2 linked regions of the Xenopus tropicalis genome follow. The protein of the gene in region 2 interacts with the protein of the main gene of each other region in a pairwise test. Links are inferred from orthologs where the notes say so. Each region holds a gene or a part of one and is shown on either strand. Other genes may lie near its edges.

Region 1 (4,321 bases), on a different chromosome or scaffold from region 2:
GAGAGTCCCCCAGCACTTCATAACACCCACAGTGAGAGTCCCCCAGCACTTCATAACACCCACAGTGAGAGTCCCCCCAGCACTTCATAACACCCACAGTGAGAGTCCCCCAGCACTTCATAACACCTACAGTGAGAGTCCCCCAGCACTTCATAACACCCACAGTGAGAGTCCCCCCAGCACTTCATAACACCCACAGTGAGAGTCCCCCAGCACTTCATAACACCCACAGTGAGAGTCCCCCAGCACTTCATAACACCCACAGTGAGAGTCCCCCCAGCACTTCATAACACCCACAGTGAGAGTCCCCCAGCACTTCATAACACCCACAGTGAGAGTCCCCCAGCACTTCATAACACCCACAGTGAGAGTCCCCCCAGCACTTCATAACACCCACAGTGAGAGTCCCCCCAGCAATAAATCACAGCCATAGTGAGAGAGTCCCCCCAGCACCTCATAACACCCACAGTGAGAGTCCCCCCAGCACTTCATGACACTCACAGTGAGAGTCCCCCAGCACTTCATGACACAGTGAGAGTCCCCCAGCACTTCATAACACCCACAGTGAGAGTCCCCCAGCACTTCATAACACTCACAGTGAGAGTCCCCCAGCACTTCATAACACCCACAGTGAGAGTCCCCCCAGCACTTCATAACACCCACAGTGAGAGTCCCACCAGCACTTCATAACACCCACAGTGAGAGTCCCCCAGCACTTCATGACACTCACAGTGAGAGTCCCCCAGCACTTCATAACACCCACAGTGAGAGTCCCCCAGCACTTCATGACACTCACAGTGAGAGTGCCCCAGCACTTCATGACACCCACAGTGAGAGTCCCCCAGCACTTCATGACACAGTGAGACCTGCATTTTATTACAGCCACAGTGAGAGTATCCACCAGTATTTCATGACAGACTCTGGGTTGCACTGTCATGTTACATTTCGGCTTCCAGCCTTTCTAACCTCCTAGTGTGAGACTGGATAAATGCATAGAGGAAAAATACCCTTATATCCTATTGTGGCTCCCTGTGCGCTCCCCTCTGTAAGCAGGAAGGAGGTGAGTTGGAAAGCTGAATACTATGTGCTGCCATACCCTTTAGTGTTTATGCCTCCTTCCTTCACCTTTAACCAAGTAAATTCTCCTTTGAGCACATTTATTGTCAGCATTCTATCAGCTCTGTGAGCCCTTCTTTATCCTGGACGTATCTCCTCCCTTATCTTTCTCTTGCCAGAGAATTTACAAGAAGGTCCGTGCTTGCTCAACAAGAGATTTCCATTTTCAAAGGTGGAGGGAGGAGCCATCAGCACTGAAGGGGATGATAGCATTGGACGGAAGATTAAGCATGGAGGTATGTGAGGAGCAGAGCATAGGAAAACTTAAACTGAAAGCAGAAATCTGAGGCGCCGCAATCTCGCGAGATGAGCCGGTGTGACGTCACGCCGGAAGAGCCGAATGCGGGAAAGATCAGGAGCTACGGGAGCAGTTCGGGCAATGTGGGGAATGTAAACAATACACTGGGACAGCCAGCTGCCTTATGTTAATCGGGCTGTCCCGTGAAAAGCTGCCAACTTGGGAGGTATGTTTCTAGTGCAGTATGGCAATGTATGATATTCGGCCACTGTGCAGGTTGGGAACAGACACAGAGGGGCGGGGCTGGGGAGGAGTTTCCTCCGCTACTGCAAAGTTCTGTCTGTCAGTACTATGACTACTTCCTGTGAAAGAATGAAGCGACCCCCTCCCCCCCATTCCTCATTTCAGCAAACACACTGAAGAGAAAGGATGTCTATGTAGCTCTGATCTAATTACATTTTTAGGAGGTAAAATGTTGTTGAAACGTTTTTTTTTCTTTTGCATCATATTACATATTGGAAGGCAGGAAGAATAAAATGTAATGAAAATTTACAAAAAAATGTATTACATAAAAAATGCCTTGTTAAAGTTCTAAAGTCCTATTACTAATCCTGTTTAGTAGTGCTGCAGTAGCTTATAGTGATTTTTTCCATTTGAACTGTTATTTATGATCATAAAGCCCTTAAGCAGTACCATGCAATCTATACATGTCTAGGCACTCACATTTAATAACAATCATACTGTCTGTAAATGTATCTTGAATGAAACCATTATAAACCCTGCTTTCATTATATGGACATATCAATGAATCATTCCATTAGTCTGCTATTTATCTATATAATAGGGTTGCCGGCTGGACAGTAGAATACAGACAAGGTGGCATTCCTAATATACATTATATTTCATTGATTTCTCTGTGTGGAGCTAAAAATGTATCCTTTCTTTTTGTATGTTTTTCTTAGAGATGGCTGAGTGTTCCACGCTGGAGAGTCTCATTGAGATGGGATTTTCACCCAGTAGAGCGTAATTATTTCACCCTTTAATCCTATGTTGTGTAAATCAGTCAGATTGTATATCATAATAACACTACAGTATTATAGTGGGCCTCATCACATTTTCAATGACCATGGATTGCATGTCTGCATTGTATTACAAATATAGGTATAGGATCTATTATCTGTAATGCTTGGACAGTGGAGTTTTCTAGATAAGGGATCTTTCTGTAATTTGGATCACCGAGCCTTAAAAATGCTGAAAAAAATGTAAACATTAAATAAACCAAGTAGGATTGTTTTGCCGCCAATATGGATTCATGCAGCTTAGTTACCATCAAGTATTAGATACTCTCATTATTGCAGAGAAAAAAGATTTTTTTTTTTTTTAACAATTAGAATTATTCAATTATTATTATACTTAAAGTTGGCCTTTCCAAATTTCAGAGCTCTCTGGATAATGGATATATGGATAAGGGATATAATAACCGTATTCCTTTAAGGTCAACTTAGCATTTCACATCAGGCGAGATGTTTGTAAACACTTAGCACATTTTTTGTAGCTTTGTTGTGTGCCTTTACCAATAGGTCATTTTATTTTGCACATGTTCTTACAGAGAGAAGGCATTGGCTGCTACTGGCAATCAGGGAATAGAACCAGCTATGGACTGGTAGGTACATTAATTTGTCAGTGTTTACAGTCTGCGGTTTTGCCAGTGTTGTCCATTCACAATTAATGTTTATCCTCAGGTTAGTAGAACATGAAGATGATCCTGATATTGATGAACCAAGTGTGGTTGTCCCTGAAGATAGTGATTCTGGTACAACAGATACACAAGGCATGGACACCTGTGAAGGTTAGGGGTTGATTTTTAGTAATCATATTCATCTTACAGTTACAAAGGTGTTCCATGACAGCCATCCCTGTATAACTCGTGGGCAAATTAAATGAAAAATAAACCAACAAAATCAAAACACAAATCATCAATTTGTTGCAGTGGACACAATCAAATAATTTAGATGCCTATTGCATGTCGGTGCAGAAGCCATTGCAGTCTGCAGCATGCTTATCCATATATGGGATGTTGGATGTGAAACATATGAATTAAATATACATACAAGTGTAAAATTAAGCATAGCAAATCTTTGGCACATAGTTAAAGATACTTTAATTTGTAACTCTGCAGTAGGTGAATTATTTAACTAATGTCTAACCCTCTTAGTAAAATGCACTACATTTGCCAAGGTTCTGTAACCCATAGCAACCAATAAGGTGTTCTTTTAAACAGGTGATCAGTAAATGCTATCTGCAGTTGATTGCTATTGGGTACTGCACTTTAACATAATTAGTGTCTTTTAATACATAACCCTATCAGTTTTTATTACATCACCCGTGATAGTAGGTTACATTTAAATCAAAAGGTCGCCTAGTGTTGTCATCCAGAATTACAGAGTAACACTAATGCCTACTGTTGGATTTAATTAACTAGTAAAGTAATAAATATTGTTTAATTTAAGGGGTGCCTGTCCTTATATGTGTATTCTCTTTATATAACCTTACACTTTATGCTCTCCTTCACGAGTAGTCTGGATTCTCTGTCATATCTAATTGCATTAGGCCTGGTTTACAAATCATAACAAAGCAGTTTGACCTCCGTGGTCTGAGATCCTATATGAAACTCATTGGTTTACATCATTGCAGGAATTTGAGCTCTAAACAGAAATAATTAGAAGTTTAATTGAGATAAGAAATGAAGATGAGAAATCACTTTTTTTAAAAAATATGTATGTACCCTTTAAAGACATTAACCAGAGGGATTCTGGGTTCCCTTCTTTCTGAAACCCTCTGTTTTCTTCTCCTGTATTGCTTTTAAATACATAGTTTTATAAAAACTAATGGTTTGACTTTAAAAATTGATTGAGATATTACCATAATGTGTAAGTAAGTAAAGACCAACAGCAGTAAGACTGCTGC
Region 2 (3,568 bases):
GATAAACTTCAAAAGTGCTGCCTACACATCAATATTACAACATTAAAAAATAGATTTGTTGGTTTAAAACCAAAATTTAAAAAAACATGGAAGAATTCCTTTAAAATGATTGAAGAAAAAGCCTAATGATAATACAATACAAATATATATGTATTTTTTTCCATCAGGTTTATTGGGTTCTATTGTTTTTTATAAAGACCATTAAGTTCTGTTTTTCACCTGTAAATGGATCAGCTGCAGCTGTGGAATAGTCCGAGTGCGATGATGAACTAGGTACATAGCGATTTCCACCTGCAATGTTGCAAAACCAATAATATGTTAATGCAGGGCTTGATTTGTGTTGTTTTAGCCTGTAAAGTGGAGTCATCCCACATAACACATAATAGTAGTGTATCTCACCAAACAGTATAAAAATAAACACTGCAGAGATCAAAAAGTGGAAAAAAACAGATGTCTCGATCTGTTACTTTTGCTTTAATCAGTTCATTTCTTTGCTAATGCTGAAACATTGTTGACAGTTTTCTACACTTTCATAATGTTTTAAATGTTTGGATGTACCTGTAAATGGATCAGCTCCCATATTATTAGTAGAAGAGCTTCCTGGAATGTAACGCCCACTACCTAGAGAAAGAGTAAAAAAAAAAAAAAAAAAACATTGGAGAATCTTATTTTTGAAATGTGTACTGGTAATGGGCGTCATTTTTGTTGATTTCTGTCACTGCTTGTCATGTTTTCAAGTGTGGACAATCTGCCTTTCATTATTACTTGTCACAAGTGATTTAACTCTGCTTTAATCAGCTTGTTAACTTGACAATACAGATAGGCGATTTAGACTTTAGGGACAATGACACACAGGGTGATTTGTAGTTAAAAGATCACTACCATTGGCTACAAATCTCCCTGAAAATAGATTAACATTGGGATTGCTGTGAGTAAAACATATTACTCATGACAATCTGCAAGTAATGGGATTGCTGCAAGTAAAACATATTACTAGCTGGCTTAAATGCGGGAAATTGCCTCCCTTACAACTTCCAATGATTATGCAGATTGTCATGAGTAATATGTTTTACTCACTGCAATCCCAATGTTAGTCTATGGCAAAGCATGTAAAGCTGAATAAACTTCACTATTAATAAGGCAAGCCTACATACAAAAAAAAAAAGCTATACTCAGCTGACCATTACCTGTGAACGGATCTGCAAAGCCTGAGTTTGTAGACTGTGTCTGGCCAGCAGTGTTATCGATGATAAATTTGGCTACCTGATCTAAGAACATGGGATTCAGATCATTCTTCTGCAAAAAGTTGTATGCAACAAGCCAAGGATCCTCTGTCAGGTTATATGGTAACTTGAAGGAGGGCCCACTCTCATTCACATCAATTGTAAACACGTAATCATACTCCTGTGAACAAAAAACAACTAAATTTAAAAAGTAGACAAAATATTGTCAGAATCAGCCAAAGTGTTTTATACAAATTTGGGTACTGCAGATATGCTTGTTTTCAGTAAACTGTGTAATACAGAAAAAGGACACCTTACGTCTCCTTATACTCACCTGACTTTTTAGAGTGTAGGCATTACCTAGTTTTCCCCACTTTACCTCTTGTATCTGTCAGTATTTGTATGAATCTTTATGTTTGATGTGTACACACATCTATTGCTGACACTTTATAATTATCTTTTACCAACAATGCTATAAACCTTAAGGGCCGTGGTTGAATGTAAATCGCCGGTGGGATGGCATATAGGAAATCGTGGCACCGCATATGCCATTCCACCGGTGATTTACATTCAAGCCAGTGGGATGGCATATTGGGGAGATTAGTCGCCCGCAACAAGGGAGATTTATCACGGGCGACTAATCTCCCCGTCTACCACGGCCCAAAGGGTGAAGACACACAAAGCTACTAGTTGTGGCTACTAAAACAGACAATGCTGATCATTTACTGATAACGGTCTCTACGTGTGTTTTAGCAGAGGCAATTCTCAGTATTGTCTATGGCAGGGTATTGTTTGCCTTTAGTAGCCATGAAAAAGTAGCTGCTAATAGTTTTTCTGTGTGTATTCACCCTAAATCTGTATTCTCCACTGTGGCTTTTGTGAAAGGAAATTCTTAACCATTCACATACTTTGCCCTCAAACAAGACTTTTCCAGATGTTTGCTGTGTTGCACCAGATGAGCCCACTACATCTCCAATCTTCATCCAGCGTCCTTCACCAGTGCTCCACTGGTAGGCTTCAACCTTCCCATCTTCTTTGATTAGCCTGGTCTGCCCATCCCTGGTTCCTTAAAAGTAAAACAAGCAATAGTAATTAAAAAGAAAAACAAAAACACTTAGGTGCTGAATCATAAGGGCTCTTTTACTTGTGTGAAAAAACACTCCAAGCTCTTTCGTACTGCTTTGCATTCAGTTATGCCTTCTGTTCCAATTTAAGTGCAGGGTGCCTTCTGATGCAGGCACAACCTGTATCTACATGGTTCCCCCCTGCAGCCTGTGTCAACAGATGCAGTGCTTATTTTAACAAATCAGCTACTAAGGTGTCAGAAGCATTGCCCCCTTCCGACTGCTTTTACATGGAAATTATGGGAAAAAATGTATGGGTAAAAAAAAAAAAAAGTAGTGATTGCATCTAAAAGTGCATTTTGCATACTGCACTAATTGCTCATAAATTACCACTATATTGTTTGTTATACCCATTATTTATAGCTTAAAAATAATGTTGAGTAACACTGCAAGAAAACATTGCCTTGTATGTAATCCTCAAGTTATGGACAGCACTCCATACTTCAATCTTCTTATAATAAAAGCCTTTATTCACATAATTGGCACAGACCAGTACAGCAATGTTTCAGGTCTACATTTACCCTTTATAAGTCTTTATATTCACTGTGTTGCTTAGAATTTTTAGGGCTTTAACTCTATGGGCTTTGGCACATAGGTATTTTGACCACCACTGCACTCTGGTGGAGAAAAGCAGCACTCAAAACGCTTGTACGCCTGTCACCACTACTGATTGCAGTAAATGTAAAACTCTATTGAATGCAAACAGAGCAGTGTCAGGAGAACTTCTGCACAAAAATGCTCAAGAGTTATGGGTTATGGTGCCATGGACCTCTTGTCTTGTGCCAGCCATGTAAGTCCACTACAGGGATTTTATTTACTTTACAGGAGTGATAACAAGCAGGAGAGCATTTTGTCCACCACTGTTCCTAGTCCCGTGCCCCAGGCTAAACATCATCACTTTGTAACTTAAAAGGTATTGGGTGGCCAGCACAAGTATTTAATGTAAGGCTGGGATGATGCCATGTTTTAGTACTGAGCCACTAGGTTAGTGGCAGAACTGATATTTACATGTACCTATAAAATCCTGGAACTTGTCAATAACACTATTAGCCATTTTTTAACGCTAGACAGCACAATATTTAAGGATGCTAGAAAAGCAGAGTCCCCTTTTTAGGAAAGTGTAAATTATTAGTGCTAAAAGACATGCAATTGATATGACACCATAAAATCACTAGTAACTACTGATTGCCTTTTTGCATGTGCATATTTTATCTTGTATCT

What was found.
Region 1: the proteins of plaa (region 2) and ubxn1 interact in binary tests that used the Homo sapiens proteins (3 or more experiments, as listed by UniProt). The two-hybrid records come from large-scale screens. The link is inferred for Xenopus tropicalis from reciprocal best matches to the Homo sapiens genes PLAA and UBXN1.

Annotation. Positions count from the first base shown.
Region 1 is NC_030680.2:37,007,087-37,011,407, forward strand, and holds the start of ubxn1 (UBX domain-containing protein 1), read left to right. Parts: upstream 1-1,462; 5' UTR 1,463-1,821; intron 1,822-2,316; 5' UTR 2,317-2,318; coding exon 2,319-2,377; intron 2,378-2,963; coding exon 2,964-3,017; intron 3,018-3,096; coding exon 3,097-3,203; intron 3,204-4,321.
Region 2 is NC_030677.2:122,240,418-122,243,985, forward strand, and holds part of plaa (phospholipase A-2-activating protein), read right to left. Parts: intron 2,290-3,568; coding exon 2,132-2,289; intron 1,405-2,131; coding exon 1,188-1,404; intron 622-1,187; coding exon 559-621; intron 292-558; coding exon of another isoform or gene 220-291; intron 1-219. UniProt on the Homo sapiens protein: Plays a role in protein ubiquitination, sorting and degradation through its association with VCP. Involved in ubiquitin-mediated membrane proteins trafficking to late endosomes in an ESCRT-dependent manner, and hence plays a role in synaptic vesicle recycling.